Rattus norvegicus: one gene and its partners. The protein of the gene in region 3 interacts with the protein of the main gene of each other region in a pairwise test. Links are inferred from orthologs where the notes say so. Each region holds a gene or a part of one and is shown on either strand. Other genes may lie near its edges.

The links.
Region 1: the proteins of Peg10 (region 3) and Ldoc1 interact in binary tests that used the Homo sapiens proteins (3 or more experiments, as listed by UniProt). The two-hybrid records come from large-scale screens. The link is inferred for Rattus norvegicus from reciprocal best matches to the Homo sapiens genes PEG10 and LDOC1.
Region 2: the proteins of Peg10 (region 3) and Lnx2 interact in binary tests that used the Homo sapiens proteins (3 or more experiments, as listed by UniProt). The link is inferred for Rattus norvegicus from reciprocal best matches to the Homo sapiens genes PEG10 and LNX2.
Region 4: the proteins of Peg10 (region 3) and Exosc5 interact in binary tests that used the Homo sapiens proteins (3 or more experiments, as listed by UniProt). The link is inferred for Rattus norvegicus from reciprocal best matches to the Homo sapiens genes PEG10 and EXOSC5.

What each region holds. Positions count from the first base shown.
Region 1 is NC_086039.1:144,998,540-145,006,220, reverse strand, and holds the start of Ldoc1 (protein LDOC1 precursor), read right to left. Parts: upstream 4,455-7,681; 5' UTR 4,379-4,454; intron 1-4,378. UniProt on the Homo sapiens protein: May have an important role in the development and/or progression of some cancers.
Region 2 is NC_086030.1:13,116,058-13,123,958, forward strand, and holds the start of Lnx2 (ligand of Numb protein X 2), read left to right. Parts: upstream 1-3,081; 5' UTR 3,082-3,220; exon of another isoform or gene 3,221-3,239; intron 3,240-7,901. Other genes in the region: Polr1d (DNA-directed RNA polymerases I and III subunit RPAC2), read right to left, coding at 1,952-1,977.
Region 3 is NC_086022.1:33,805,552-33,813,477, reverse strand, and holds the start of Peg10 (retrotransposon-derived protein PEG10), read right to left. Parts: upstream 4,453-7,926; 5' UTR 4,245-4,452; intron 174-4,244; 5' UTR 87-173; intron 1-86.
Region 4 is NC_086019.1:90,292,784-90,300,452, reverse strand, and holds the start of Exosc5 (exosome complex component RRP46), read right to left. Parts: upstream 4,545-7,669; 5' UTR 4,462-4,544; coding exon 4,314-4,461; intron 279-4,313; coding exon 165-278; intron 1-164. Other genes in the region: Bckdha (2-oxoisovalerate dehydrogenase subunit alpha, mitochondrial), read left to right, coding at 4,957-5,064. UniProt on the Homo sapiens protein: Non-catalytic component of the RNA exosome complex which has 3'->5' exoribonuclease activity and participates in a multitude of cellular RNA processing and degradation events.

The DNA of each region.
Region 1 (7,681 bases), on a different chromosome or scaffold from region 3:
AATTTATTTCTTCTGTGTAATGACAACCAGTTTTTCCAGCACCATTTGTTAAAAGTGCTGTATTTTCTCCAATTGAACTTACTGGCATCTTTTCAAATATCAGAGGAGTGTGGTTATGTACATGTACTCTTTTGGGGTCTTTGATTTTGTTACATATGTGTGTGTGTGTGTGTGTGTGTGTGTGTGTGTGTGTGTGTGTGTGTGTAACACATGGAGTGATAATGCTCTCCTAAAGAGCCATCCACTATCAAAAGAAAAAAAAAAACTCTGCAAGACATGAAATTTCCTTTCAAGTTGTTGGTAAGGAGAGTCTGAAAAACTCCCCAAAATAATATAAGCTACTGCTGTGGCCCTTGGTTTCTTTCTAGAACATGAAATTAAGACACCATATGTTTTGGACACAGGACCTGGAAGAATTAAAGTGCATCAGACCTGAAAGCTTTATATCTGGTTATTAACTTTCCTAATACCAAAAGATTGCAATCAACCAATAGTCTTATTCAGTCACACAGTCTTTAAAATCACTACAATGAGAAGACAGAGGAAATAATCCCTATGGTGAAATGGTGGCTCTTTGTTCCATGATAAATAACAGCTAATTGAACTCAAGGCATGTACTTTGCCTGGTACTGCAAACCTAGCCAACTACATATGTATCCTAAAGGAAAGCAAACTACTTCTACTTTCCCAAAGCAGTAGAATTTCTAACACTGTAAATACTTATCCTTATACTCATAGAGTAGTTTAGCTCTAATCTTTCTCAAAGAAGCTTCTTTTTACAACATATTGACACCATTACAGGAAGCTACACTGAGGGAAATGCAGAGTACCGTAACCATGGGATATTTAGTTCCAGTTGATAAAAATACAATAAAATCCCTACGTCTAAAGCCCAGAATATAAGGGAAAGAGGACAGAAAGATTATAAAAGTCATAGAACCAAGAGGTTTCAGTAGGAGTATGTCTTCTAGATATGATAGGGAAGCTATACCTATGATGACTTAAAAATATGGCTATTTACACAAGACTTGTAAAAAATAACATCACCTGTTGGCATGCCATTATGTTTGTATGTGTTTAACAATAATAAGTTTTTAAAGAAGCCATAAAATGATATAGACTGGCAAGAGAACATGAGGGAGGTTATAAAGAAGCTAATGGGGTAGAATTTTGTAATTGTGTTTTAATAAAGAGCAAATCAAATTAAATTAAACAAATATATCAAAGAATTGTTCATCAAATTTCAAAAGTAATACAGTGAAGAAAGCATAACCATATTAGAAAGTGTTTGAGGAACTATTGGCTATAAATGTGGAAAATATGAATGTCAGTAATTCTAGTGTATACATAAAATTGACACAAAACTATTCATATACCTAACTATAAAAGTTAAAAGTATAAATTCCTTAAATAAACATTGTAGAGCATCTTGTGATCTCAGGTTAAATATTTGTTGTTTGAAAAGCATATCAAAACACAATTCTTGAAAACCATATATTTGACTTGAAATTTAAGGCTTGTATTCTTGAAAACATAATTAAAATATAATTATATGATAGGCTATAAAATATGTTATGAAACTCAGATTTTAAAATTACATATTTTTTTTACTGGCAGGCTATTCAAAGTACATGAAAAACTTTAAACATTGAATAATGAGAAAATAGAATTTAACATGAAAAAATATGTGAACCAACATTTCCAAAGAGAAAATGCACCAATAGAAATCACTGGTGAAGATGCAGAATATCATGAAGTTCTAGGAAAAAAGAGGGTGAAACTTCGAGATACAGCCCTGCCAGATAAACAAGAAAATAGTAAGGAAAATGTGAAAATGTCACGTGCCAGTAAGGGCACACAGAATTGGCATTAACACACTGATGCTGGAATGGAAAATTATACAAACTGAAAATGGCAGGAAAAAAAAATACCATCATACTGTATATGTCCATTTTCTTTTAAAGTACTTTTGTTAGTTATTTAAGTTCATACAAGTTGAGCATATTCACCACTGTCTCTTCTAAAACCATCCAGATTCATGCCCTTTGTCCTGCCCACCGAACTTTGTGGGGTTTTGGTTTGGTTTTGTGTTTGGGGTTTTGTGTTTTGTTTTTAACTCATCCAGTCTGCTTTGGGTTATCTTTATATTCTTGGGTATAGGGTCATCCATTAGACTTTAAGCCACACCCTTAAGCAAAACTGATGCTTCCTTTTTTAGAAGCCATCAACTGACAATCGTCTTCACATAGATGTGAAATATACCCACCTCTTCTCCCCGTGGTGAAATTCTGTTGGGCTTGAACTTACACGGGTTGTATACATTCAGTGACTGTGGGTTTCATGTGAAACCACATAGTTGTTCCCAGAAAGTACTGTTTCTTTGTCCTTATCCACATTGACAAGCTCTAACATTCTTTTTCACTCCTTCTTCTGCAATAATCCCTGACTTGGGTGAAGAGGTATGATTCACTTATCATATTTGGGCTGAGAATTCTGTAGTTTATTACTCTAGTGCACCGGAGCTGCTTTTAGTTCTTTATGTTAGCACCATTTACTTCAAAAAGAAGCTACTCCGATGACGGTGATGAGGGTTGAACTACCCACAAATCTACTAGCATAGTGCTAAGTTTTATACTAACACTGTGTCCATTTAGCAGAATAATAATAGCAAATTCTTCCCTAGGGACTATGAATTACCTGATCAAAAGTTCTTGCCCTCAATAATTGTGCTAGTTATGTGTTTCATCTTGTGGAACAGGCCTTAAATGAAAAAAAATAGTTTACTACATTTAAAATATCCATGCCACCATTGTACAACTGAGTTAGTTACTGATTATTTTTCCATTCTGTTAACGTACATAGCACCTTTCAGCAACATGGAATTTATCCAGTAAGAATGAAGCTATCAGATGGATACCAGTTTGACTTCTTTCTGTTCTATGACTCAAGTATGCGGTGTCATCAGAAATAAGGTCTTACTGTCAAGTTCTGGAGGATAACCAAGAGCAATATCAATAGCATTTAATAGTTGGAGGTCTATGGGACTTCACTGGCTAACAGCTCCAATATATGTGGGAATAGGTTTCCATATGACTTTGTACATAGATCTTTTGTTATTGTTCTATGTATATATTCTTCTAACCAGTTTACCCATCTCCCACCTTATTCATTCCTCCTATTTCACTATTCCCTTTTCTCCCTTTAAATGATTGCATCATTTAATTGGTCCCTTAAAAGCATCCTATGCCCCACCATATGTCCTTACTAGTTTCCTGACTTCCATGGGCATTTCAAAATAAATACACAAATCTGAAGATGCAAAACTAGCATCTGCAACAAGTAAAAGCAATCAACATTTGTCCTTTGGGGAGGAGGGTGTCTGTTTTACATCATTCAGAATGATTGTTTTCAAATACATGCATTTACCTGAAAAATTCAACTTTAGTATTCAATGGGTGAATGGTATTGCATTGTATAAATGTATTATATTTTTACCATCCATTCATTGGTTGATGGACATCTGGGAGTTTCCATTTCTGGTTATCATAAATACAGAAGCATTGAACATGAATGAGACAGTGTCTCTTTAGTAAGATATAGGGTTCTTTTGGTATATGCCCAAGCAGTAGATTAATTTCCAGTGTTTTGAGGAACTCTACACTAATTCCACAGTGAACACACTGATGAATAACTTCAACAAGTAGTGAACAAGTGCTTCCTTTCCCCAAATCCCTACAAGTATTTGTCATCACTTGCTATTTGTATCTTAGTCATTTTGACTGAAGTAAGAGGAAATTTGAAAGTAGTTTTACTTTGCATTTCCCTAATGGCTAAGGATGTTGACCATTTAACAAAATGTCTCCGTCATATTCATTTCATCTTTTGAGAGCTCTTTGTTTAATTTTACGCCCCATTTTTTACTTACATTGTTTGTTTTCTTGATGTGTAGTTCCTTGTTTACTCTAAATATTAACGTGTCAGATATATATGTTGTTGAAAATTATAAAAATAAAATGCTGTCTTATACCCTCTCTAGGTCCGGCACCACAGTACCCCCAAGATATCTGATAGATATCCCAAACTCAGTCAGCAAAGCGTCTCACCTGCTCTGCTGCATCCCATATCACACTGCCGAAGGCCTCTCTGAGCCTGGAAGAAATCTCTCTACCTATCTAGGTCCCAAGGCAGGTTTCCATGCCAGAAACACACATCCCAACTCCATGTCGACCCAGACAAGCCGCCCCACACTTCCTTACATTTAAATCTACACATGAAAGATGATACAACACAATAATTTTTGATCCAATTGATAAAATACAATTGCCCACCTAAACATACAAAGCCCATTACACATCCATCCCTTAAGAACATATATAACCTGCTGAGGTACAGCGTGGAATCTAAACACAGGCTTCCAAATTGTTCTGCCGCGGCTTCGCTCCTCTCTCCTCCCCTCTTCCGTTTCTGTCTCCTCCTCTTCCTTCAAAACTTTCTCCCGCCCATCCTTCCTTTTCGTCCAATGACAGGCCTCATTCTATCTTGTACCTGCCTCACCAGTGACATCATCCCACATACATAATTGTTAAAGTTTTTCCCATTCTAAAGGCTGCCTCGTTACTTAAGTGATAGTGTAGTGTCTTTTGTTTTACAGAAGCGGTCTAGTTCATGAGTTACCATGTATTAATTGGATTTAATGTATTAACTACTGGGGAAAATGCATTCCTGTGTCAGTAAATTCAAGTATAATCCAAATATTTTCCTCTACCAGATTCAGACTATCAGGTTTTATGCTGAGGACCTTTATCCACTTGTAGCTCAGTTTCAAGCAGATTAACAGATAAAGATATAGTTTACACTCTCTATGAATAGCAAGAGAAACTAGAAGAGATAATATCAGCTCCGTATCCTACAACAAAAAACAATAAATGGAATTAGAACCGAAGGGCAACGTGATTATTAGAGAAATGAAAATACTCTAAAGTTGAGGTTAACTTCTCATTGTATAATTTTGTAAATTTGTTGGAAATGTTAACTATATGTTTACTGTAGGTAAATATTTTGGCTAACAGCACAATAAAATTGTTTTACTATCAAGCTATGCAATCAAATTATTGTTCATTTCTTTTTTTTTTATTAACTTGAGTATTTCTTATATACATTTCGAGTGTTATTCCCTTTCCCGGTTTCCGGGCAAACATCCCCCTCCCCCCTCCCCTTCCTTATGGGTGTTCCCCTCCCAACCCTCCCCCCATTGCCGCCCTCCCCCCATAGACTAGTTCACTGGGGGTTCAGTCTTAGCAGGACCCAGGGCTTCCCCTTCTACTGGTGCTCTTACTAGGATATTCATTGCTACCTATGGGGTCAGAGTCCAGGGTCAGTCCATGTATAGTCTTTAGGTAGTGGCTTAGTCCCTGGAAGCTCTGGTTGCTTGGCATTGTTGTACTTTTGGGGTCTCGAGCCTCTTCAAGCTCTTCCAGTTCTTTCTCTGATTCCTTCAACAGGGGACCTATTCTCAGTTCAGTGGTTTGCTGCTGGCATTTGCCTCTATATTTGCTGTATTCTGGCTGTGTCTCTCAGGAGCGATCTACATCCGGCTCCTGTCGGTCTGCACTTCTTTGCTTCATCCATCTTGTCTAATTGGGTGGCTGTATATGTATGGGCCACATGTGGGGCAGGCTCTGAATGGGTGTTGCTTCAGTCTCTGTTTTAATCTTTGCCTCCCCCTTCCCTGCCAAGGGTATTCTTTTTCCTCATTTAAAGAAGGAGTGAAGCATTCACATTTTGATCATCCGTCTTGAGTTTCGTTTGTTCTAGGGATCTAGGGTAATTCAAGCATTTGGGCTAATAGCCACTTATCAATGAGTGCATACCATGAATGTCTTTCTGTGACTGGGTTAGCTCACTCAGGATGATATTTTCCAGTTCCAACCATTTGCCTACGAATTTCATGAACTCGTTGTTTTTGATAGCTGAGTAATATTCCATTGTGTAGATGTACCACATTTTCTGTATCCATTCCTCTGTTGAAGGGCATCTGGGTTCTTTCCATTTTCTGGCTATTATAAATAAGGCTGCGATGAACATAGTGGAGCACGTGTCTCTTTTATATGTTGAGGCATCTTTTGGGTATATGCCCAAGAGAGGTATAGCTGGATCCTCAGGCAGTTCAATGTCCAATTTTCTGAGGAAACTCCAGACTGATTTCCAGAATGGTTTTACCAGTCTGCAATCCCACCAACAATGGAGGAGTGTTCCTCTTTCTCCACATCCTCGCCAGCATCTGCTGTCACCTGAGTTTTTGATCTTAGCCAATCGCACTGGTGTGAGGTGAAATCTCAGGGTTGTTTTGATTTGCATTTCCCTTATGACTAAAGATGTTGAACATTTCTTTAGGTGTTTCTCAGCCATTCGGCATTCCTCAGCTGTGAATTCTTTGTTTAGCTCTGAACCCCATTTTTTAATAGGGTTATTTGTTTCCCTGCAGTCTAACTTCTTGAGTTCTTTGTATATTTTGGATATAAGGCCTCTATCTGTTGTAGGATTGGTAAAGATCTTTTCCCAATCTGTTGGTTGCCGTTTTGTCCTAACCACAGTGTCCTTTGCCTTACAGAAGCTTTGCAGTTTTATGAGATCCCATTTGTCGATTCTTGATCTTAGAGCATAAGCCATTGGTGTTTTGTTCAGGAAATTTTTTCCAGTGCCCATGTGTTCCAGATGCTTCCCTAGTTTTTCTTCTATTAGTTTGAGTGTGTCTGGTTTGATGTGGAGGTCCTTGATCCACTTGGACTTAAGCTTTGTACAGGGTGATAAGCATGGATCGATCTGCATTCTTCTACATGTTGCCCTCCAGTTGAACCAGCACCATTTGCTGAAAATGCTATCTTTTTTCCATTGGATGGTTTTGGCTCCTTTGTCAAAAATCAAGTGACCATAGGTGTGTGGGTTCATTTCTGGGTCTTCAATTCTATTCCATTGGTCTATCTGTCTGTCTCTGTACCAATACCATGCAGTTTTTATCACTATTGCTCTGTAATACTGCTTGAGTTCAGGGATAGTGATTCCCCCTGAAGTCCTTTTATTGTTGAGGATAGCTTTAGCTATCCTGGGTTTTTTGTTATTCCAGATGAATTTGCAAATTGTTCTGTCTAACTCTTTGAAGAATTGGATTGGTATTTTGATGGGGATTGCATTGAATCTGTAGATTGCTTTTGGTAAAATGGCCATTTTTACTATATTAATCCTGCCAATCCATGAGCATGGGAGATCTTTCCATCTTCTGAGGTCTTCTTCAATTTCTTTCCTCAGTGTCTTGAAGTTCTTATTGTACAGATCTTTTACTTGCTTGGTTAAAGTCACACCGAGGTACTTTATATTATTTGGGTCTATTATGAAGGGTGTCATTTCCCTAATTTCTTTCTCGGCTTGTTTCTCTTTTGTATAGAGGAAGGCAACTGATTTATTTGAGTTAATTTTATACCCAGCCACTTTGCTGAAGTTGTTTATCAGCTTTAGTAGTTCTCTGGTGGAACTTTTGGGATCACTTAAATATACTATCATGTCATCTGCAAATAGTGATATTTTGACCTCTTCTTTTCCGATCTGTATCCCTTTGATCTCCTTTTGTTGTCTGATTGCTCTGGCTAGAACTTCAAGAACTATATTGAATAAGTAGGGAGAGAGT
Region 2 (7,901 bases), on a different chromosome or scaffold from region 3:
AATAAATTGACATCCTACAAAAGCTACGAAGATGGAGCTTGATACCAATTCAAATTCTCTTGCGAAATTAAAACTCCGAGGAGTACTTCACATTATCTTCATCCTTAAGGTAGTCTACTAATCATATCAAAGAAGCATTTGCATTAATAAAAAAAAAAAAAACAGCCCGGAGATGCCTTAGTGGGTACAGGTGCTTGCTGTGAAGCCCAACAATCATCAAATGGCTCCAATATGGCGTTAGGAGAGAACAGACTGCCATGCATGTACCACGGCATGTTTGTGTGCACATACAAGGAAAATGTAAAAACAAACACCACCTCAAGTCCCTCTTCCAATCTTCTTTCCAGCCTTTTAAATCATAGTGTCCTGGACCTCATTCTACTTTACCTCTCCTTCCCACAGCATCTCGATCATATAGAAATAGTCTTTTTAAGATCTGTGATCACAACCTCTGACTCGGCCCAATTACATCTGTTCACTTATAGTGTTGGTTCAATTAAGGGGTGACACCATCCTTGGGGGTTCATCTAGGTTCAAGGAAGAGAAACCACTCAAACTAGTTTAAACAAAAGCGAGAATTTATTAGGCAAACAGACTTGCAGAGATTCCAAAAGCTGTAATGGGTCAATAGCTAGAGCCACATTTTCCTATAGGACAGAACATGCTGTAGTCACCAATTCTAGTTCTGGGCTCTGTACCATCCTGAGGGTGGTCCTGCTTGTACCCTGCACGAGGGACTAGAGCGTGGGTTCGTTTTTGCTTGCCTTTTTATCTTTATAGTCCTTTACGCTGGCCTCAAACTTGACAAGCACATGCTGGCAGACATTCAAGAGCTCATTCAGGCCTTTCTGAAACGGCTCAACAGCTGGAAGTGCACCCCGTGTCTGAATTCGCAAATTAATTTTGCTCTCTGAAGGATGGGTCGTAGTGTAACCACAAAATTCCACTTCCGGGTTCTTCATGATTATGTACCGCAGACAATTTCCTAGTGTATGGTCCTCCTCGTGTAGTACAAATGTCACACACTGTCTATCTGTTCCAGCTGCCTGGACCATTTCCAGGGCTGTCTTCCTCTCGCCTTCAGCCATTGAGGTCTTCAATCCTGATATTTTTCTACACACATATTTTTTTGTGTAAGAATGAGATCATACGGAATATCGTTTTCTGATTAACTCTTAAAGATTCACTGCCTCATTTTCCTGCCTCCACACTTCTAGCCATAAATATTTAACTCGTTTCTCCCTACTTCATTTGACTCCAGCAAGGGGGTGGGTACCACCTCAGAAAAAAAACAAAACAAAAGAAAAACAACCCACGAAGTTAATTGTTTGCAAAAATCTTCGGATAGAGCAAAGAAAGGGGCAGAGTTATAATAGGGTAGGCCCTGCTTTAGATGAAAAGGGAGTTGACAGGCATAAAAAACACGATTACTTTAGCATAAAAATGGCAACCACAAGGTATCAGGGTGGCAGGCTCAGTTACAGCTTCCGTTTGAAAGAGGTAAGGAAACTAAGTGAAAGGAAGTGAAAAGTTTAATAGGAGGGAGAATTTGGCGGACAGAGAGAATTTACGAGCAGTCTGCACAGAGCGGAGTTGCAGTAACTTTAGCTAACTTAACACGCCAGGACCGCCACTCGGGACGGCTGGCCCGGTGCGTGACCTTACACGAGGCAGTTCTAATGAGGGTGGTGGCAGTTTGGGACTTACAGCTGGATTCCCTACCTCTCTCCCATCCCGGATGGCTAGCGTCCCTCTGGGCTTTTCTGTTATAAATGAACCCACGGCTCCTCCCTCTTCCCAACCCGGCCCGCTCTATTCTCTCTCCTCCCTTCCCCAGCGCCTGGGGTCAGGCCTAGCCGCCACGCCGGGCTCAGTCGGCCGCGTGCCCCTTCGCTACCCGCTTCTCTGGCCCGACCCGCCGCCCCACTCCACTCTTTGCCTCCAACCTTACCTCTCCAGCTCCTGATCGTCCTCCATCGCGGGGGGCGGCTCCGGGAAATCCTCAGGTGGCGCTGGCGAAAAGGAAGATCTTCCCCATGTCGCGAAAGGTGCGGGACAAGGCAGGAAGGAAGAAACCACCGACGGAAGGAGCGGATGACGGAAGGAGGGAGGCGGAGCCGCAGCGGCGCGGCAGGGCCCCCTCTGAAGGGCGGGGCTAAAACAGAACCCGCCCCCGACCACGCCCAGGCTCGGGCTGGACCGCTCACCTGGAACTGCGGAAGCCAGGCGGCTGCGGTGCACATTCTGTCCCCGAGTGCTACCGTAGATCACAGGCTTCTCGCCTGTTGCCCCGAGACATCTGCTATTTAGCGTCGGGGTCGGATCTCTGACTTGCTAGAGTCTCGAGGAACGGGACTGCCCCATGGCTGGCTATTCCCGGGACCGGAGTCCTCAGGGGCCTTTCCTGGGGCACCCAGCATATTGCAACCTTGAAAAAGCAGAGAGACTAGTGTGCAGAGGTGACTTTCCTGACGATACTGTGGGCTTTTTATTTTCTCCCAGGGGTGCAAATGTACATCTCCAATAGGTGCAAGGGCAGCGTTTGTCTTTCTTTTGGGAGAGAAGTGAGAGTTTGGAGCACCGCCCTCCTTCCTCCGGAGCTCACGCGGTGGACTTGCAGCTCCTTTTCCCTTTGAACCCAAGGAACCGCCCTTCTCAGGTGCATCCTCTCTTCTCCCACCTGACCCTGGCCAGGCTGGATCCCCGCCCCACCCAGCTGTCCTCTTGCCCTGCACACCTACACGTCAGCCGCCCCGCGCCACCTGTTCTCCCTCAGCCTGGTCCCGCAGCCCTCCCCTCCCTTCAGCTGTCCCACGCCAGGCGCGGCGCTCCAGGGGTGCACGCAGACACTTCCCGAGCGTCTTCTCTGTGTGTCTGAGGGGAGAATCCGGCCGGGAGCGATGGCGGAGGGCGGAACGCGCTCACTCTAACTCGGGAGTGATGAGCAGGGCCGACCCGGCCCCTAGAATTCCTTGATTGGTCGAGCGGCTCCAAGCCCGCTCTTAGTCCCGCCTTCGCCCGCCGTTGATTGGCTCAGGTGCGTGTCGGGTTGGGCCTCTGCGCTCGCCCCCGAGGGGAAAGGCAGCAGGGGCGGTTGAGAAGTAAAGTCTTGGCCGGACTTTGCTTCTCGCCAGGAAATCGGCGGCGGTGAGTCCCGGCAGAGCGGAGCCGGGTAGCGTCCTCGTTAGCGCGCCCGCGGGGAGCCCGCCGCTTTCCGTCAGTGAGTTACTTCGCCTCAGGTGCGGGCGGTGACGGGGTGTGGCGTCAGGGTAGGGGGGACCATCTGGGGAACCGCTGGGGGCCGCGTGGTGTCTGGCCCGGCCCGGTGCGGGTGCAGGTTCCAGGAGACCCGGTGCGGTTCTGCGCGCCTCTCGCTTCTCAAGACATGGACGTTTGAGGACGAGTTGTTGCACTTCGCGTCTGCACGTTGTCGGGAGCTAGAGTGGCGCTAGCCAGCTGCCCTTTGGTTTTGTTCCCTGGAAGGGATGAGCAGAGAGACCCTCCTCCCCGCCCCAGCCTGTTGCGGGGGAAGTCTCACCTTTCTCTTCAGATTTGACATGTTTGGGAGCGTGGGGGTATAATTTCCAAAATATGAATCCCGATTTGGAAGCATTTGCGCACAAAACACCTCTTGGGGAAAAACATCGCTGGCTTTTGAAAGCTTTCTGCCACGTTTCACACAAGGGCTTTTTTTTTTTTTTTTTTAAATGGAGTGTTCTAGTATTTCCGTTTGCATTTAAGATTGTGTGTTTGCCAGGAGCCTAAGGACGCTTCCGCGTGGCTTTTTCGAATCAATTTTTCTTTTCTCTGTAGCCTTGGCCAGCCTGGAACTCAGAGGGATCCACCTCTTTCCTGAGTGCTGTTGGGTTAGAGAGGCGTGCGCCCCACACCCCGCCAATTTTTCTTTAAAAATAAAATCACAGAAACCAATGGCAAGGATAGTTGGAGGATTCTGTGAGCTCCAGTTTATCCAAACTGCCTTCACTTTAAGAATGTCACATTCTTTGTAGTCACAGTACTTAGAAATTGGCCTCCTTCCCAGGACACAATTTGCTTTTTCTCTAGCCTGTACAGTGACACAGCACAGACGAAGTTGGATCTCAGTAGGTCAATCCTGTTTGCTTTGATAGATTTGAACACCCTCCCTCCCCCACACCTTCGGAAAAAAGGACTTTGGCAGGTAAAGAAGGAACCTGGGGGAATCTAGTGTCCTATTTGGCCTGCAGATCATTGTTGAGCCAGAGCTAAGAAGGTTTTGCCATTTTAGCCTGTCCAAATTCCATGTGAGTTTTCCCAAAGGGGTCAAATGTAGGCCAACTCAGAACAGCTCTAGAGTCACATTGCTTTTAATTTAGTCCATCCACTAAGTCTGTGTTCTTTTCCTCTAATCTTCAAGTTTGAGCCTTTTCATTGTATAAACATTTAGCTACTCAGTGTCTACCGCTTTGGCAACTTTGAGGAAAGGGATCATTTCTTGCCCAAAGTTGCTCAGTGGCTGTATACTTCTTAGTCCACTACCGGAAAGTAATTTGAACAAAGTAATGTGGGAACTTAAAATCATTTCTGCCTAGAATGTGTCAGAGGAATTGGCACAGGCTCTCTCTGGGAGCATCCTAAATGCTTATGGCTGTAGAATGTGACATTATCTGCTGTGCGTATGGTTAATCTGAAGAACACAATGTTTGGGGTTAAAGTAATAGGGGTCAGGGGCTGGTTTTTTTGTTCATCTTAGGTAGGGTTCATGGTATGTTCTACAACTGGACCCTCAGATATCTGTTGAAATACTAAAAAGAAAGGATTTTGTGTAGCACATGAAGACGTTTGGACACTTCATCCAGTCAGTGATCGTGGGGTGTTCATTTCAAGCAGGAAGATGCTGTGGTGAGGTTTGCATTCCATAGGGATAGCTGGGGGACAGTGGGGGTCCCAAGAGTGAGAAACAGAATGGGGCTACCGTGAAGTCTCTGTGCATATTATCTGTGTTTGCCGGGCTTTATTACCCGCTCTTAGCTCTTTAGCATTTTAGCCTGGTGGGTTTGAAAACCTGAAAAAATAAAAACAGTCATGGCTATGGCTCAGGAAAAGCTCAGCCAAAGCTTGTCATCAGCGGGTGAAGAAAGCTGGTGTGGCGTTCGGGCGGTATGGACTCCTCAGAGAGTGACTAGGTAGGAGCAGTGAAAGACGTTGATCCTTGGTTTCTTGATTTGCCTGTCTGCTTTCTGTTTTTGTTTTAGAGACAGGGTTTCTCTGTGTAGCCCTGGCTGTCCTGGAACTCACTCTGTAGACCAGGCTGGCCTTGAACTCAGAGATGCACCTGCCTCTGCCTCCAAGAGTGCTGGGATTAAAGGCCTATGCCACTATGCCCTGTGATTCCTGGTTTTTTTTTTTTTTTTTTTTTTTTTTTTTTTGGGGGGGGGTGAGTATGGACTGGTTAAGCTGGTTATGGAGGCAAAAGAGGAGTCGGGTTCTTCCACTTGCCTTTCTTTTTTTTTTTTTTTTTTTTTTTCTTTTTTTCGGAGCCGGGGACCGAACCCAGGGCCTTGCGCTTGCTAGCCCAGGGCAAGCGCTCTACCGCTGAGCTAAATCCCCAACCCCCTCCACTTGCCTTTCAAATTACTATTCCATCTGGTTTTGATTCCCTAACAGGCAGGAAATAGTCATAGTACTGTTTAGTAAGGTGTAAGGATCAAGTGAAATTACGCATGTCATACCCTCGACACAGTCTGTGGCGCTGAATTCCAAGCGCTGAATAAATATTAGTTGTTCCTTTAATGGCAACAGTATTAGTGAGGTAGTGCAATGAATGATGGTGGCTTGAGAAGGAGCAGTTTAAAACTGGGATGGTAGCGTACAGGGAGTCCGGCTCAGGCTCAGGCTCTGTCCTGTGAGCTGCCACATGGGTGATTGACATGTCAACCCAGCATGTTGGCTACACATCGCAAGAGAAGCCTGTGAAGAAGAGAGAAAGAAAGGACTTTTGCATAGTCAGTCTTTTTGGATTCGTGGTAAACTGTGAGATTGGGGGACAGGGGAAGGTGGAGTCTGGAGAGCAGTGCTGGTGGGGTGTTCATGTGGGACAGCAGGTGTGGGAAGTGCGTTTCAGAGCTGGGTGTGGAGACACACAACTGTCATCTCATTCATTCAGGAGACTGTGGCGAAAGAAGACTGCCGTGAGTTTGAGGCCAGCCTGTGGGTGCATAGTGAAATCCTATGACAAAATGACAAAAACAGCCCAGGTGGCAATGGCATGCATTCGGTCCCAGCATTTGGGAGGCAGGGGCAGTCAGAGCTCCTGAATTTGAGCCCATCATGGTTTACAGAGTGAGAGCCATGACAGGCAGGGATACACAGGAAACCTTGTCTAAACAAACAAACAACCCCCCCCCCCCCATGACAAAAACAAAACAACAAAACCCGGCCTCGGTGTGGCACATACACTTTTTCTCAGCTTGGGAAGCAGGGGCAGGCTGATCTTTTGAGAGTTTAAGGCTAGCCTGGTCTGTATTTCAAGTTTCAGGACAGTCAGAGCTATGTAGCAAAACCCTGGCCTGCCCACCCACACCCTGCCACATTGATTTTGCTGTAAAGACCTGTGGTTCCTACACCAGTTGGCTCTGATTTTTTTCTCTTCTTCTGCTTTCCACTCTCCCCTCCTAACCCCCACCCCAACTCAAATCCTTCTTACTCTGCAGAACGGTGTAACATTTCCCCCTTGCTTCCTGAACTACAGCTCTTTCCATAGCTGCCTTCCTACAGGCAGGAAGGATAGCAGAAGATAGGTTAACTTAAAAAGTGGTGCCAGCTAAAAAATTCACACACACACACACACACACACACACACACACACACACCCCCACACACCCCTCACACATAGGATTGTAAAATGTAGAGTTCTCCAGCTTGACTGTTAAAGAGCCTAGGAAGTTTCACAAAACAAATCTCCTTTAAACTTCCCTTAGCAGCAGAAACAGTAAAGTTTTGGTAATTTCAGGTAAATTTTTGGACTGGTTGGATCCAGAAGATGAGAGCTATTAGCTTAATGTGTTTTTCAGAGGACTTTTAGTTCTCTACTGCAGGATGACACCTCCCTCCAAGACCGGTTTGTGTGACTTGGAAAAAAACCTAAGAGTTTCTATCTTTTAGATTGTATGCTTGCTAGAGCAAAGGTCCCATCTGTTTTGTTCACTGTAAATTCCCCAGTGTGTGTGTGTGTGTGTGTGTGTGTGTGTGTGTGTGTGTGTGTGTGTGTATACATGAAGGAATGAATCCGCAAGCTTTGGTCTGCCTTTCTGCATATGTTTGGTCAGAGGGAAAACAAAAGAGAATGTGTTGTGACAAGAGGCCCTACAGTGTTTGCAAGCCTTTAAGAAGATACCTGGGTGAACCCATGGTTGTTAAGAGCCAGCTGTTTCCATGTGAGATAGATGCTGTCATTCTTCTCTTTTCACAGTTCACTGCCATGGCTGTGGGGTGTGGTAAGTTCTCCAAAGGTAGAGACGACCTCTGGGTCATGGTTCAGTAGTAAGTGCATGACACACGGGGTATAACCTTGGTCATAGGTTACTGACCACAGCTTCCTGGTTCCTGGGAAAGCTCCCAGGGAGAGCCTCTGCTATCTCTGTGGGGATGACTGGGAATCTAGACAGAAATGTTTCCAGAGAAGGCTAGGTATTAGATAGTTTTATTGCCCTAGCCTAGGCACTTTAGAGTGCTACCTCAACAGGCCATTTCCTCAGGAGAAAACTTGTGAGTGGAAATTTGGAGTTTTTCAGTCTGGATAGAAATGAGAAGTAGAAACGGAGTTCTAGAATGCCGAGTTCTAGGCCAGCCAGGGCATCCTAGAGACAGACCCTATCAAAGGGGGATGGTACCCTAAAGTGGTGAAAAGTTTACAACCAAAG
Region 3 (7,926 bases):
CATCCTTGTCCCCTCCCCCCTGCTTTCTTAACAAACACTGCAACCCCCCACCCCAACCTTTTAAGCCCCTCCCCTGTGATAACCACCTGGAGATATTTTCCTTTTGTCTTAAGTTGTTCCTATGGCATTTCCAATAAGCAGAGCACACAGGTGACTAAAGTGTGACTTGTCATCTAGAAAAGAAAAAAGAAAAAAAAACCTTCAAAATATAAATTAAAACCTTTCTTAAGATGGTCTCAGAGAGGCCTAGTACAGACTGACTCAGGTCAGGAAGGTTTAGCCCTACTGGGCTGGGCTTTATTGTGGCCAGGTCTGGTGGACATTAACAGCTATAAAAGACAGCTAACTATAGGTCAGAATCTGCATTAGGAAACCAGCAATCAATCATTTAATTAATTAGTAAGATCATTTAAAGTGGGCTTAGAGCTAAGATAATGGGGAGGTGCTGTACTCCCACAACTTGGGGTGTGCCCCTCCCATCAAGATATTCAAGGGGGCTTGCTTTTGCTTTTTAATAATACAATGCTGGTTAAACAAATTAAGTGCCTCATTTGGCAGGTGAGGTCACCAGTTGAAGATCTGTGACCTTCACCACTCCCAGGCCTTACCCCTGGGGAGAGGGGGGACTTGCAATTTTGGGGTGGGACTCTACTCCAAAACTGAGTAGTTAGTTTTAATCGTAAAAAGTAATAGGATCTTGGGCAAACTGGTTAACAGTAATCATAAACAAGGAATGACAATGTTTACTGTTGGGCAGCACAGGTTGATGATGAGCAAGAAGCATTTTGACTTCATTTTAATTTCACTTAAAAATTGTGGCTCCTCAAATTCCCCCTTAAAGGGCTGGACTGGTTGGGGGGAATGGGGGGATGGGTGAGCTCCCATTCCTGAAAACTGAGTTCACACTGTATAAGCCAAGCTGCTTGAGACAGGACCATATTTATATGATAATTAAGTTTTAGTCAATTAAAAATAAACAAATAAATTTGATTAATTATTAACTCTTTAAAATGACTTCTTCCAAGTTTTAATTCCCCTGAACACAAAGAGCAATAATAGTAAGTAAAATCATATGTAAATGTCTCATTAGGAAATGAAACACCATTAGTCAACTTTTAGTTGCTTTAAAATCTCCTTTTCTTAGTATTACCTGGATTATTTGTGCAATATAATTTGCATACATTTTTTCAGTATTTTGAATCTCTTTAATATACAGACAAAATTTACAAAGCATGCATTTCAAGCTGTAATTATAAGCATATATACATCCCACAGATAGTTATACACTAGGGAGGGGCATTAAGAAGGCAAGAGCTTGGTGGAGCAAAAGCCCCTGTTTCTCCCTCATAGTCTATAATATATGGAACCAGATTTTTTTAAAATTGCTTCATTAATTTAGAAACATTTTGGCTTCTCTGTAAATTATACAGATGTTTAATTAAGCCAGTTGAAACAATCTATGTCTTACAATGTAACCACTCTGTTACATCATGCAAAATTTAAATGTCAATATGTAGCATTAATAACCCACTTGCCCCAAGTGTAAATTAGCTTTTTATGAAAAAAGCTAATTACTTGGGACACCAAATAATTAGCTTTTTATGAAAAAAGCTAATTACTTGGAATAACAAATAATTAGCTTTTTATGAAAAAAGCTAATTATTTGGAATATAACTTAGTTGATTCACATTATAATTACAGCTTACATTACTGAAGTTCAAAAACATACTTTTTTAAAAAGAAACTTTTAATTGTGTTTTCAAAAGGGGCAGCAACTCAACTCAGGACAGCAAAGCACCATAGGAAAAAGGCACAAAAATCCAAAAAAGCCTGAAGGCCAGCAGCAAGACAATAATTTATTCGGACTTCAACACACAATTAATTAATCCTTACTATGCGCCAAGCACACCTTTACAAGCAGGCCAGGCAGGCCCAATCACCTAGAATTTTTAAGAAACAAAAACAACAACAAACCTGTTCTACGCTAATAAACATCTCTCCCAGAAGCCAAGCTATAACACCAAAGCCACTGAAAACTCCTAAGAAACACAGTGCTCGTCACCTCTGTCTTTGTAGTTACCAAAGCATTTAATTTCAGGAAGTCCAATGGTGTCTTGATAAAATAATTAAATTTGAAAATATTAAATTTAATTTTTAATTTAAAATAAAATTAAAATTAATTGCCTTCATTGCTTTAAGGCATCAGCTACGTCTTCTTACTAGTTCCCATATCCCACTATCAGGAGTTTTAATTGTGGGATCTTTTTATTTAATAATGCAATGCACTTATTAAAAGTGCATTTGCTTGCCAGGTATACTTATTATTGTGACTGTTAATTATTCTTATTATTCTTATATTTACTAGACACCTGTGGACAAAAAGTAAAACCGCGCAACAGAGAAACCGCAGGGAGGCGGGGCTGTGCAGCCAGGCTCAGACAGGGCAGAGGCGCACTTGCGCAGTGGAGGCATACCTGAAGGGAGGGGCTGCGGCCCACAGTGCGCAGGCGCAGGCAGGCTGAGGGAAGGCGGGGCTCTAGGCCTCCTCAGAGGAGGAGCTATGGGAGGAGCTGGACATTAAGAGAGGCGGGACCTGGGCCGGCCTCCTAGGAGGAGGCGGGCTAAGGGAAAGGCGGGGCCTTGTCAGGCCGCCTCAGAGGAGGCGGGCCTTGAGGGCGGGGGCTAAGTAGGCTGTCCCAAAGGCATCAGCACTCGGGAGGTGGGGCCTGTGGAAGCATGTTCTGGAAAGGCGCGCGACAGGCGACGCGCGCAGACGAGGCGCGCAACCTCTCTGCAGATGAGACAAGGCTAGGATGGGCGGGGCAGGTCTGAGACTGGCTGCTACAGGGCTGCAGAATGTCTGCATGCCTCCCCCCGCCCCCCTACCTCCCCGACCCCTCCCAACCACCAAATTCCTTCCGTAGAGCAAGAGCAAACCCCCACCTCCCATCTCGGCTTCGGACCCACCCAGCAAACCGGACTGTCTCCACAAACTGTTGCTGGACACCAATTCGTGCCCCCGAGTCTATTGCACCGTCACCTCAATCAATCACCACTAGACAAGGCAGCCCATTCTGCCATCTCCAAAATCCAGCACCCCTCCACTCTACTGCCGTAAGCAGGAGTCCCGTGGGCAGAATGTTAAACACCAATTTTTGGCCTCTCAGGGCTCCATTTTGTCTACCACCACCACCATCATGCAGATGGACGTCTGACCAGAAAACGCAACGCGTTTTGATCCGAAAGGTAAACCTGTGTCGCCTCTTCCCCGAGGAGAGAGTTGTACTCTCTCGTCTTTCCAACGCTACACTACTTTCCGCGTAGCTCGAGTCTGCACGTCTTTTGCCTCTGCCGCAGTTTGTAGCGCATTTCTAAGCCCACTCTTGTTGCGCTTTTGCATTTTGTGACTCTCCTGCAGCTCGGAATTGAGTGCGTGAAGCAAGGAGTCGGTTTGTGTATCTCTGGAGTTCGGGCTGGTTTGTGGCGCATGAAGCGCCGGTTCGCCCGTTCGCCCGTTCGCCAGTTCGCTCGTTCGTACAGCGAAGCGCATGAAGCGCCCATTAGTACACTGAAGGCATGAAGCGCCCATTAGTACATCGAAGCGCATTAAGCACTCATTAGTACATCGAAGCGCATGGCGCCCATTAGTACATCGCAGCGCGTTAAGCGCCTATTAGACGATCGAAGCGTAAGAAGCGCCCATCAGTTCGTGCCGCATGGAGCGCCTATTAGTATTTCGTAGCGCATGAAGCGCCTATTAGTATTTCGTAGCGCGTAAAGCGCCTATTAGTATTTTGTAGCGCATGAAGCGCCCGTTAGTTCAGCACAGCGCAAGAAGCAGCCGTCTGCAGCGCAACTAAAGCGCTTATCCGTTTGTAGCGCGGCATTCAAGCGCCAAAGAGTAGCGGAGTAGCCAGCCACTTTGCAGCGCATTTGAGGAGCTCATCGCAATTCGGTCCGTAGCTCATGTGCGTCTGCAGCTCATCGCTGTCCGCAGCTCATGCGTCTACTGACCAATGCTGGACGCGAGTCATGGAAACCGAAGTCCCGGACCCAAAGCCGTGAAGACTTGCTTTCCATGCTCTCGTCTCAGGATGCGGCCACTGAAGGCAGGCGTGACAAAATTCGCGAGGAGATATTCTGGGGGCGCTACTTTATCTCCCGCAGCTCCTGGGAAGAAAAATCGGGGATTGCGTGTGATCATTTTCGGGTAAAAAAAAAAAAAATCCTCACCGCATACTCACCACACGAGGATCCTCTGCGATGACACGAAGGATGAGGGGTCCGGCGACGGCCGGGCCCACTGGGTGACCGCGGTCCGGAGAAGGCTCCGGACCGCAGCCCACTCAGCGGACCTTGGCGAAGCTTGGTGGACCTTCTCGGTTGGTGGCTCTCCTCAGGTCGTAGTTGGTCAGGATTCTTCGACACACACCAACTGAAGTTGGAAACGCGTGTACCGAGAGCCCGGACTGCTTGCCTTATATAGAGAGATCCTAGGAGGGGGGCGCCAAATCCCAGCGTGCTTCGCGAGCTGGCGGGGGCGGAGGGGGGGCGCGTGGGCGGGCGCCTGGGGGGATGGGTGGGGGCGCGGCATGCACCGCTTTGGCCCGCCGCTAGGGGCAGTATGGGCTCAGGAAGGGGGGTGCACGATGCTGAACTGGCCAAGCTGGGAGGAAAGAAGAAAGGGAGGGGAGGGGAGGATCGAGGACGGACGGCTTAGGCAGGCCAAGAATGCTATTATTCTGGTGGTGGGAGCTGGGAGACCCTTGTGCTTGGACGGGAAAGGGTCGGGGGACACTCAAGATGAGCCCCGCGACCACTGGCACATTCTTACTGACAGGTTAGTGGCCTGCGCGCGACATGGAGGTTCAGGGGCCCACAGGCCGCCGCCTCACCCTCCCCCACTCGGGTTCTGGGGTACCAGGGCGTGCCCGAAGGGTGCTAGTCCTGCTCTATGCCCAATGCGCCCCCCCAGCACCCCTCTTTCAGGACACCCTTCAGCCCACCTCCTGGGCCAAGTGGGTCCCTCCCCAGGCTTGACCCCTGGCCTTCTCTTTCTGCACCCCCACGGCCCCTCCCTGTCCAGCAGGGCAGGAATTCAGCTCCAGTTTCCATTAAGGAGTGTACCCCACCTCGCCCCCCCACAGCCTGGTGGTGGACATCTTCTGATCTCTGGAACAGACTTGGGGGTCGCTGCCCCTCGGGGTGGGGGTGGGGGTGGGGGGGTGGGGGCTTTACCCCACAATTGAGACTCTCTGGCCTAGATGTGAGGCAAAGGGCATGGCTGGCCAGCTGCTTATCTCTTACACAAAGATGTACGTCTTTTCTCATTTTCTGGAATCTGGTGGAGAGAAAGACCACCAAAATGTGACATTTAAAAGACCGAATCTCGCCCCCACCCCCACCCCGCTCCCTGCCTTTTTTTAAAGCGTATTTCCTGGTGGCGCGAACCTGATTTTTCTTAGGTTTTTACCGAACACGGAAGCAGGATCATGAAATTCTGGGAGCCAAACGGCGGTGTTCAGGTCAGGGTCAACCATGGCTGGGGGCCGGAGATGCTGCAAAAAGCACCCATTGCCCTACTAAATATGTTACGAAGGGAAATCAAGAACAATTGAAAACAGCTGTAGATGCTTCCAATGTTCTTGGCCGGCTTTGGAAGCTTTCAGCTACGGACTTTGTGAGGTGATTACAAGGTTTACACAGAGACCTCGGCTTCCCCCCCACCCCCGCGCCGTTATGTGTTTCTAAATCTTGTGGGTGAATGAATGTTTTGGGGCGCAGTAACTGTGGGTTCAAACCCTTGAAACAGGTCACCGAGACTAGCTCCAAGCATTTGCTTGGTTCGATTGATATAAACCTGTTTAAAAAAAAAATCTTTTTTAACGTTAGGGAAATTTGCAAAGGAACAAGATATTCAAATGCTGACGGGGAAAGGATGTGAAATAAAACCTTAATGCGGATTCCCGCGGAAGCTGCTCAGAGTCTTAGGTGCGGAGAAAATTAACAATCTGTTGCTAATCTTTGTCCAAAAAGTTAAGGTTAAAAGGAAAATCAAATTGTCTACAAGTGAGTTGGATTTATGAACCACAGCGAAACCTATTTGTTTTTCAAGACTAAAATTGAGTTTATTTCAGCAACATTCCCACAGCTTTTTCTTTCCTTAGAGGAAAAACAAGACTCTGACCCATTGTGTGCGACAAGGTAGAAGGGACCTTGGGCTGTACAAAGCATTAAGCTTTTTAGCATTAAGCAAAAAACTCATTCATTTACTGGGAATCTACTTATTAGAAGTTAAGTGTTGACCTCCATAAATAAATAAATGCAGATTTCCAAGAGCGAAAGACATTTATCTAGGAAATTGGGCGAACATAATCATTTTTTAATTTTAAAATGTTTATCTTTTTCTGCAACACAGACTGATTCCAGGATTTTGAAACATTGTTTATTTAACAGTCCCTGTTCGGATGACTGCGGGACTGTCATATGCTTAGAAGCAGTTTCTTCTCTCCCCAAAGTAAATTCACCTAGCTGTTCACTGATAGCATTGGTTTTTAACAAATGAGACTTACAGCAGACATGGATAAAACATAAGGAAAATCCATGTTTTAAAAATCACCCACCTTTCAGGGTTTGAACTAATTTGACTTTTTCATTCAAAATTTTAACCAGTATTTTTTTACTTATTTATTTACTTATGGCTTAAAAAGTGGAAATGGCTTTGTTGGTGTTTTTGTATTAATAGTAATTCTCTCATGGTCCAAATTCCAGAGGGTACTTTAGTAAGGCAACCAAGATCACCTGTGACATCCTCGGCTTGCTGTGGTGCCTGAAAACTATGGTTTGCCTTTCAGACTTCCCTCTATGCTAACAGAGGTACCTGAAGAATATGGTTTTTTTTTTCCATAGGGTTGTGTATATTTTTTCTCAAAATTAAATATTAGATCAAATTAATCCCTCTCCCCTCCCCCCTGTTTTCTTTCTAGGTAGTAGATTTTGAGCATCAAATAACACTCATTTTACAATTTTCTTTGAAAATAAGCTACATTAAATTAATGTTTTCTGATGGGTATATATGAACAGCAATAACACCTAAGTATTTCAAATCATCAAGCTGAGCCGTGGCTCGCTTTCTCAGGATTATGACATGGAGCTATAATTCTGATCAATATCCTTGAGGATTTTTTTCATACTTAACACATAATGTTTTTTTTAACTTTGCTTCAAATTATAATTTTCCTCGGGAAAAGGCAATACCAGCTATTTAGGTAAAACTTTCTTGCTAGCTGGAAGAACAAACAATGTCTAAGTGAATGGACAAAATTAATAAATACTTGAGGGTTTAATTAACGTCAAGTACCAATATGTCCTAATACCGATAGATAAGATCTTAAACAGTCGTGGCGTTGACTATCCAGGTGAGTTTTAGATATTTCCCCGGTGTGGATTATTTTGTGCCAGCTTTTCACAAGGGCCATTGTGAAGCACACACGGTGCTCCTATGTATTATTCACTTCACTAGGTAACTAGCCATCCTTTGTGTTTGAACGCTCTCCATGTTTTCTTTAAGAGTTTGCTCAGGAGCTGTCCTCTCTTGCTTTACCGCCGTTTTTAAGTTTTCAGTGGGGCGAGGGAACTCTGCTTTAACGCCGGGTGGGATTTTGAGGCCGCACATTGTATTTCTTCTGTTTGGTACATTTCACCTATTTTATGGCAACTTGACCTGTATCTGTGATGCTGTTGGTTTACCTCTTATATTTAGGATATGTTCTAGAGGAGTGAGAGGATTTATAGGTCAAAGCAAAGGCAGAGTTTTCACAAGTCAAATAATAAGACTACCTATTTGGACATTTTATTCTTTTAATTGAGAATTCGGTAGGGATGTGAATGTGCTTATTCTTTGCTTGTCGTTGGCTTAGCTTCTAG
Region 4 (7,669 bases), on a different chromosome or scaffold from region 3:
GTGCTCTGGACTCCATTCCAGTGCAGCAGAATCAAAGGCTGGGCAAAGAGGGAGGAGAGCAGTGCAGAGAGACTGGACATTCGAGCATCGAGGACTCAGGAGGTCCTGACGAGCCGGGTTCCTTTTTTTACGGGGTGGGGTGGGGGTCAGTGGAGTCCAGTTACCGGGCAGGCCGATCTTCGGCCTCAGGATCACTTCAAGGGTGGCTTTGTTGAAGATTTCTTTGCTGACCTTCACCTCGGCCGGCCCGTAGACTCCAGCCAGGACAGAGGTATCACCTGGGGGAACACGAGGGAGGCCTTGGTTACTCTGTGCCACCCTGAGCACTTCTTTCCTCTGCTCTCTCATTTTTAGGCGGGGATCACCCACCACTTGAGCAGGGGCACTGTCTTCCTCGGGGCATTTCTTTTTTTTTTTTTAAGGAGCTGGGGACCGAACCCAGGGCCTTGAGCTTGCTAGGCAAGCGTTCTACCACTGAGCTAAATCCCCAACCCCCCCTCAGGGCATTTCTGTGCCGATCAGGTGACTGGGTCTCACAGCAGCAGGAGGCCATGTGTCTCAGCATCGCACAAGAAGATGAAATAAACACGGACTTTAAAGAGAAGCAGTTCCCTTCAAACATGCAGGACACTGGTCAGCAGGGGCAGAGCTTACTGCGGACCTCAGCCATGGTGAATTGTTAGAGACAGTTGGGGCCGCAGGGATGGCTGGGTGGTGGTGGTGTGTCAACATGCACGCCGCTCTCCCAGAGGACTAGAAATGAGTTCCCAGCACCCCCATCAGGCAGCTTACAACCACCACATCACCCAGCTCCGAGAGATCGACACCCTCTTCTGCCCTTCATGGGCACTGGCACACACATGGCTCTCACCCCCGAAGTACATACACATCCCAGTGTTTGGGAGACAGACAGGAGGATCAGGAAATCAAGATCATCCTTGGTTCCGAGCTAAGTTTGAGGCCACCCTGAGCTACATGAGACCATCTCATAAGCCAACCAAACAAATCCCTTATTAGATATAATTAAAATATATTAGTAAAAGCATTTTAAAAGGACAAATGAACAAAAAAAGATTGTGATGTGTAGGGGGGGGTCTTAATTTCTGCATATTTTCCCAGAGTGGTTACAAATGGGTCTGGAGAGTAAAAAGTCTGGCTTCTGGTCCCGTCCGGGTCTTACTGGCCCTTGTGTGAGGAGTTTGTTAATGTCTGCAGGCTTCAGAGAGGCTCCCTACGACAGGAAGGCATTGCACTGCACAGCAGTCTCCACGTTTCTGACATAACTCCCGCTTTACAGCACAGCTGCACACTGATAAAATGTATGTGTACAGTGGATCACAGGTTGGGGCTGGAGAGATGGCTCGCAACCATTTGTAACTACATTTTTGGGAAGTTCACACTCTTCTGTCCTGCTCGGGCACTGGGGACATCCATAGGAAATCAATCATTTAAAAGTTGAGGGCTCAGGGATGTCACTCTGTGGTGGGGCATTCATGCTAAATCCAAAGCAGAAAATAGGATGACAAACCTACACGGGCAGCTTCCGGGGCTCTGTAGGTTTCCACTGGACTTTTTTTTCTTCCTTCCTTCCCCCGCCCCTTAAAAGATTTATTTATTTTATTTATATGAGTACACTGTGGCTGTCTCCAGACACACCAGAAGAGGGCATCGGATCCCATTACAGGTGGTTGGTTGCTGGGATTTGAACTGAGGACCTCTGGAGGAGCAGTCAGTGCTCTTAACCACTGGGCCATCTCTCCAGCCCTCCATTGGACTTTCTGCAGTCAGGTTCTGTGTGGTCAAGGCTGGCCTCGCCCATGCTGTGCAGCTGAGTGACCCTGGCACGAGCTGCTCCTCCTGCCTTTATTTATCTCCCTGCTGCTAGGATTAGGGGTTCAGTACCATCGGTTTTGTTTTTGTTGGGTTTTTTTCTTTTTATCAATTTTGCTTGTAAGGTAAGACACTGTGCTGGCTAGTTACTTCCTTTGCTTTGCATTTGGTAAACTCAGCACGAGTTAGCCATACCTGGAAAGAGGAAACTCAACTGAGGCAACTGAGGGACTGCCTCCATCAGAAGGGTCTGTAGGCAAGTCTGCAGGGGAATTCACACACTCCCGGACCCAAGGCATTTCACTGATTAACAACTGATATGGAAGGGTCCCACTCGCTGTGGGCGGCGCTGCTGTTGGGCAGGTGGTCCTGGGTTATAAATGAAAACAGGCTGAGCAAGCCATGAAAGGCAAGGGCTCCTCCATGGTTCAGTTCCTGCTTCAATGGACTTGGGGTATGTAGGCCAAACAAACCTTTTCCTCCACAGGTTGCTTCTGGTCATGGTCCTTATTAGAGCAAGAGGAGCCTAATGAGGTCAGCTATGAAGTAATAGGGTTAGTGTGTCATTTATCACATATACCCATCATTTGCACTGCTCACTGATGCCACGCCCCCTCCCATAGGGTGTTCTTGCAGGAGCCTTTGAGGTCAGATGTGTCTGCAACATTTTTTTAAAAAGATTTATTTATTTATTATATATAAGTACACTGTCGCTGTCTTCAGACACACCAGAAGAGGACATCAAATCCCATTACAGATGGTTGTGAGCCACCATGTGGTTGCTGGGAATTGAACTCAGGACCTCTGGAAGAGCAGTCAGTGCTCTTAACCACTGAGCCATCTCTCCAGCCCCATCTGCAACATTCTTTTTGAAAGTCTGCAAGGTCTCCAATTTGCACCAGGGCCCCGTGGTTTAGAGTTTTAGAACATGGAAGGGTTCCCATTCTATTTCTTATATCTCGAGAGACAGGAGACGCTGAGTTTAGCAAGTGAGCAAAACCAGGAGCCAGCCTGGGATGAGAACACTATTACATCTGCGGGTGCTTTTCCAAGGAAACCCAATGGGACAGGGTCTTAGCGCCAACATCTGCCCTGAAACCAGAAGTGACCCAACTAGACTCAGGTGCTTACTAGAGCTACACAGTAGCTGTTCCTGTTCTGCTGTATAAACTGTGCTCTCGGCAAGCAAAATAGTCTCTTCTTTCCCACCATCTCTACAACGGGGCTACAGAAATTCTCCCCTTTTCAGTCCCTAGGATTTATTTTATTTTTAATTATGTGCATGCATGCTTGTGCAAGCCCCCCCTCTCTTTCTCTGTGTGTGTGTGTGTGTGTGTGTGTGTGTGTGTGTGTGTGTGTGTGTCCCTGCATGCAGAGGCTTCTAATCCCCTAGCTCCTGAGTTACAAGTGCTTGACAGCCTCCTGAATAGATGTTGGGAACTGAACTTTGTCCTCTTCAAGAGCCACAAGTGTTCTTAACCACCAAACCATCTCTCCAGTTCCCGGTTGTCTCCCTTTTTTTTTCTCCCCAAGACAGGGTTTCCTGGAACTCCTCTCCACAAACCAGGCTGGCCTCGAACTCATAGAGACCCTGCCTCTGTTTCCCAAGTGTTGTGACTAAAGGTGTTATTTCTTTTCTTAAGCTCCTGTCAGTCTTCAACTCTTGTCCCATCTACCAGATCCCTTCCCAGGAAAATGCCTGAACAGTTGTCTTAACTGTCCTTTCTTGCTCTCTCTGACCCACCACTACCCCACACTAACTTACTAGCCATAAAGTGATCAGCTCTTAATATCTCAAACACAACTCCCCATTGTCAACTCCATCTTTGTCCTCTTCATTTGTCTACTCTGGTAGTTTTTTACCCTCCCATGACCTCTCAAAGTTGGTTGGCTGGACTGGGATACAGGGTTATGTGGGCCTCAGCCTCGAGATCTCTCTTTTCTTTCTATTCATTTACCCTGATGAGACGTGTATACCAAGGAAAGGCATGTTTTCTCAAATGATGGGACCAGAGAAGGGGAGCTACTTGTTAGCCCAGGATGGGAGGATCACGTTCAATTTTCAGAGCATTTACTTAGGTATATCACCTGCCACAGTAATTATATTTAAACCAGTAGTGGTGATGTGTCTGTCTCAAAGGGTATTTATGCAAATAAACACCTTAGCCTCAACCGATGATGTATGGATCCAGAAGTGTTTTTTAAGAAATCTAGTCAAGGATAATATTTGCCTTGGTGAAACACCTATTCTGGAATATTCACTCTTAGGAGAGGGGTCTTGCCCTGGATTTCTTCCAAGAGGTATTGACCAGCCTGGCCAAATCATTTCTTCTCGAGTCGGGAGGTGGGTATACGCAATATCTAGAAATAAATTCTCCAAGGAGGTGGGCGTACTTGGTTGCACACTACACAGTAACCGCTCTTCAAAAACCCTTCTTCGGTGAGGATGGCGCGCGCTGAGTTAAACCTTGTTAAAGTCGTACCTTGCAGAAAAGAAGCAGATCCATCCGGCCGGGACAGCAGGTTTTGCTCACAAGCAAAGTGCCGGAGGCTGCAGACTGGACTTCGAGGGCTGGACTCTGTTCCGGTGTCAGTGAGTACCTTGGCGTCTGCACGCTTTGCTCCCTCCATAGCCGCTGACCACGCGCGCTGGGGCTCCTACCGTAGCTTCCGCTCAGCCGCACGCGCAGTTCTACCGGCCGTGTACCTACCGCGCAAGCGCCAATCTAGGGCACTCCCGAAGTGGCCCTAGCACGTGGCTCGGCGTTTACTAACAATCTGGTCCTGCCCACCTCCACCTCCCAATTCTGGCAAAGCCATTGGAGAATAGGGAATAAGGGGCAGGACTTGGACTAGGCCCATTTTGCCCAAGGCCCCGGGCCCTGAACCCTGGAGGTTCAAGTGAGGTTGTCCTTTTTATTGCCTGATATTGGAACAACTCCAAGCAGACGACTGGAGCAATTTTAAAGAATAAAAATGGTCAACTTACTTATTTCTACGTCTTTGTTGCTAGGCGGTTGGAAGAAAATAGTGCGTTGGCCTAGTGGTGCTGAGATTTGAATAAGGCATCTGATGGGACAGACGCATGTCTATCTCCTGAGAAAGGAGGAGTGGTTACTAGCCAAGATGGCGGTAGCGATGTCCGCGGCCAAGATCTGGAGGCCGAGCCGTGGCCTGCGCCAGGCTGCCCTCTTGCTGTTGGGGCGACCTGGGGCTCGGGGCTTGGCTAGATTCGTGAGTACCTGGCCCCCACAGTGTCTTTCTTGGGGAGAAATAGAGACGTAACTGTTATTGTTACAGTGTGCGTGGGGCACCGCGGGCTGTGAAGGAAGAGCAGATTCAGAAAGAAAAGGACCGGGAAACTTTTTGAAGAGAAATTCAAGGGAAGGCTCCCTTTAGAGCAAAAGCAAGGCAGCTACTTGCGGGCTTCGATGGAAGGAGACGAGTAAGGGATGAGACGGGGGTTGAAAGGACAGATCAGGTTTTCATAGGGTTCTACATTACTTAAATTCCAATTGTAAAGGGAGTCGAGCAAGAAACTCGTTTGTTTCCTATGTCCCCTGACCAAAATTCAAGGCGAGGGACTTTTCCATGACTGTCATTTACAGAAGATGATCATGAAGGGAGACAGAGCGAGAAGTTCAAACAGGACCCTTTGCCCACGTTATTTTTTTTTTTGAGACAGGATCTCACCCACTCATCTGGGATGGCCTTTAGCTCACCCAGATGCTTAGATAGGTATCCGAACTGGAGATAGTCCTGTCCCAGTCTCCCAAGTCCTGATATTACAGATGTGCGCTACGGTGCTTGGCTGCCCACTTTTCTTGAAAACACTCGAGAAAACTCGGAATCTCTTTTGATCTATTGTTGATAAGGGCAGGATAACACTTCCAAATGCTGTTGCGATCTGGCGATGTACCACAGTGCAGAATGCTTGCCTCACACTTGCCACGTCCAGAATTTGGCTCCTAGCCCCGCGCTTTTTGTTTATCTGGATATGGCGACATGTGTCTGTAATTTCAGCGCTTGGGAGGTGGAAGGCAAGGAATTTGAGGCCAGTTTGAGCTGCATGAGACCCTCTCTCAAAAAAAAAAAAAAACCCGAAAAGATTTTTAAAAATGCTTTCCTTATTTTTTATTTCATGTGCATTGTTGTTTGGTCTGAATGAAGGTGTTGGATCCCATAGAACTTGAGTTAAATACAGACAGTTTTGGGCTGCCATATGGGTGCTGGAAATTAAACCCAGTTCCTCTAGAAGAATAACCAGTGCTCTTAGTCATCACTGAGCCATCTCCCCAGTCCCCTCAAAAAGATTTTTTAAAAAAGTCTAAGGCCTGGTGTGGTGATGTGTGCTTCTGATTCCAGGCAGAGGCAGGCAGATTTCTGAGCTCCAGGCCAGCCAGAGCTTCATCGTGAGACTGTCTTTTTTTTTCCATTAATTTATTTTTTCACTCCACACTCTGAATATCGGCACCCCCTCTCCTCCCAGCTACCCCCACAGCTCCTCTCGTTCCCTTCCACCACTTCTCCTTCGAAAAGTGGGGAGCTCCTCTCACCTCCCCAGCATATCAGGTCACTGCAGTACCATGCACCAAGGCCAGACAAGGTGGTCCAGCCAGGAGTAAGGAATCCGCAGTCAGGCAACAGGTTCAGAGGCAGTTGTTGGGGGTCCCACATGAAGACCAAGCACCACACAAGTGTGTGTGGGCCCAGGTCCAGCCCATGCTCATTCTTTAGTTGGTGGTTTAGTCTCTGAGAGCCCCCAAGGGTCCAGGTTAATTGACTGTGGTCTTCGTGTGGAGGCTCCATCCTCCTCCGGGGCCCCCAGTCCTTCCCCCAACTCCTCCACAAGACTACCCAGGTTCAGGTTAATGTTTGGCTCGGGGGAGGGGGTGTGTCTCTGAATCTGTTTCTATCTGCTGCTGGGTTGAGCTTCTCAGAGGTCAGTTAGGCTGCATTCCTGTCTGCAAGTATTAACAGCATCAGGGATTGGTTCCATGGGATGGGTCCCGACCTGGGCCAGTCATTGGTCAGTCACTCCCTCTGTCTGTGCTCCATCCATGTCCCTGCACATCTTGTAGGCAGGACATATTCTGGGTCAAAGGTTCTGTGGGTGGGTCCCTCCACTTGGAGTCTTGCCTGGCTACAGGCAGTGTCCATTTCAGGTGCCATATTCCCCACCGCTGGGAGTCTCAGCTAGAGTCGTCCCTATCAGCTCCTTGGGGCCTCCCCATCCCTCCCAGGACTCTGGCACATCGAGAGACAACTCAACCCCCCACACCCCCCTCTGTACTTGTTCCCCTCTGTGAATTACAGGCCAGCCTTGTCTGTAGAGTTTCAGGATAGCCAGAGCTATATAGCAAGATCGTCCCTTACAAAAGAAAAATTTTGTCGGCAATGCCTGGTTAGAGGGTTTTGACATAAATTCCCAGTGGAATCAGGTCTGGTTAAGTGGCTGGAGTCTAGAGCTGTACCACGTGATTTGGCCTCTCTGCTCTGCCACTTGCCAGTTGTGTAGCCTTGGGCAAGCAACCACCTACAGCTCAAGGCTCTCCATACACTGCCAGTGGTGGGCATGTCATAGGGCTGCTGTGGAGATGCCAGCTTGAGGGCAGTGCAAATTGGGCCCAGCACAGAAGGGCAGTGGGAATGCCTGCCTTATGTTAGGGGTGAGGGCCGAGACCACAGAGATTGGGAGAGAAAAAGGGTGACCTGGGCGAAGCATCTCCATCTTTTATGAGGCTGTGTTTGCTCCTCTGTGTATTTCATAGGACAGAGAAGATAGATAGAAGCTCTGGGGTGAAGAGAAGGGGACAAACAGGTGAGCTGGATGAGGAAG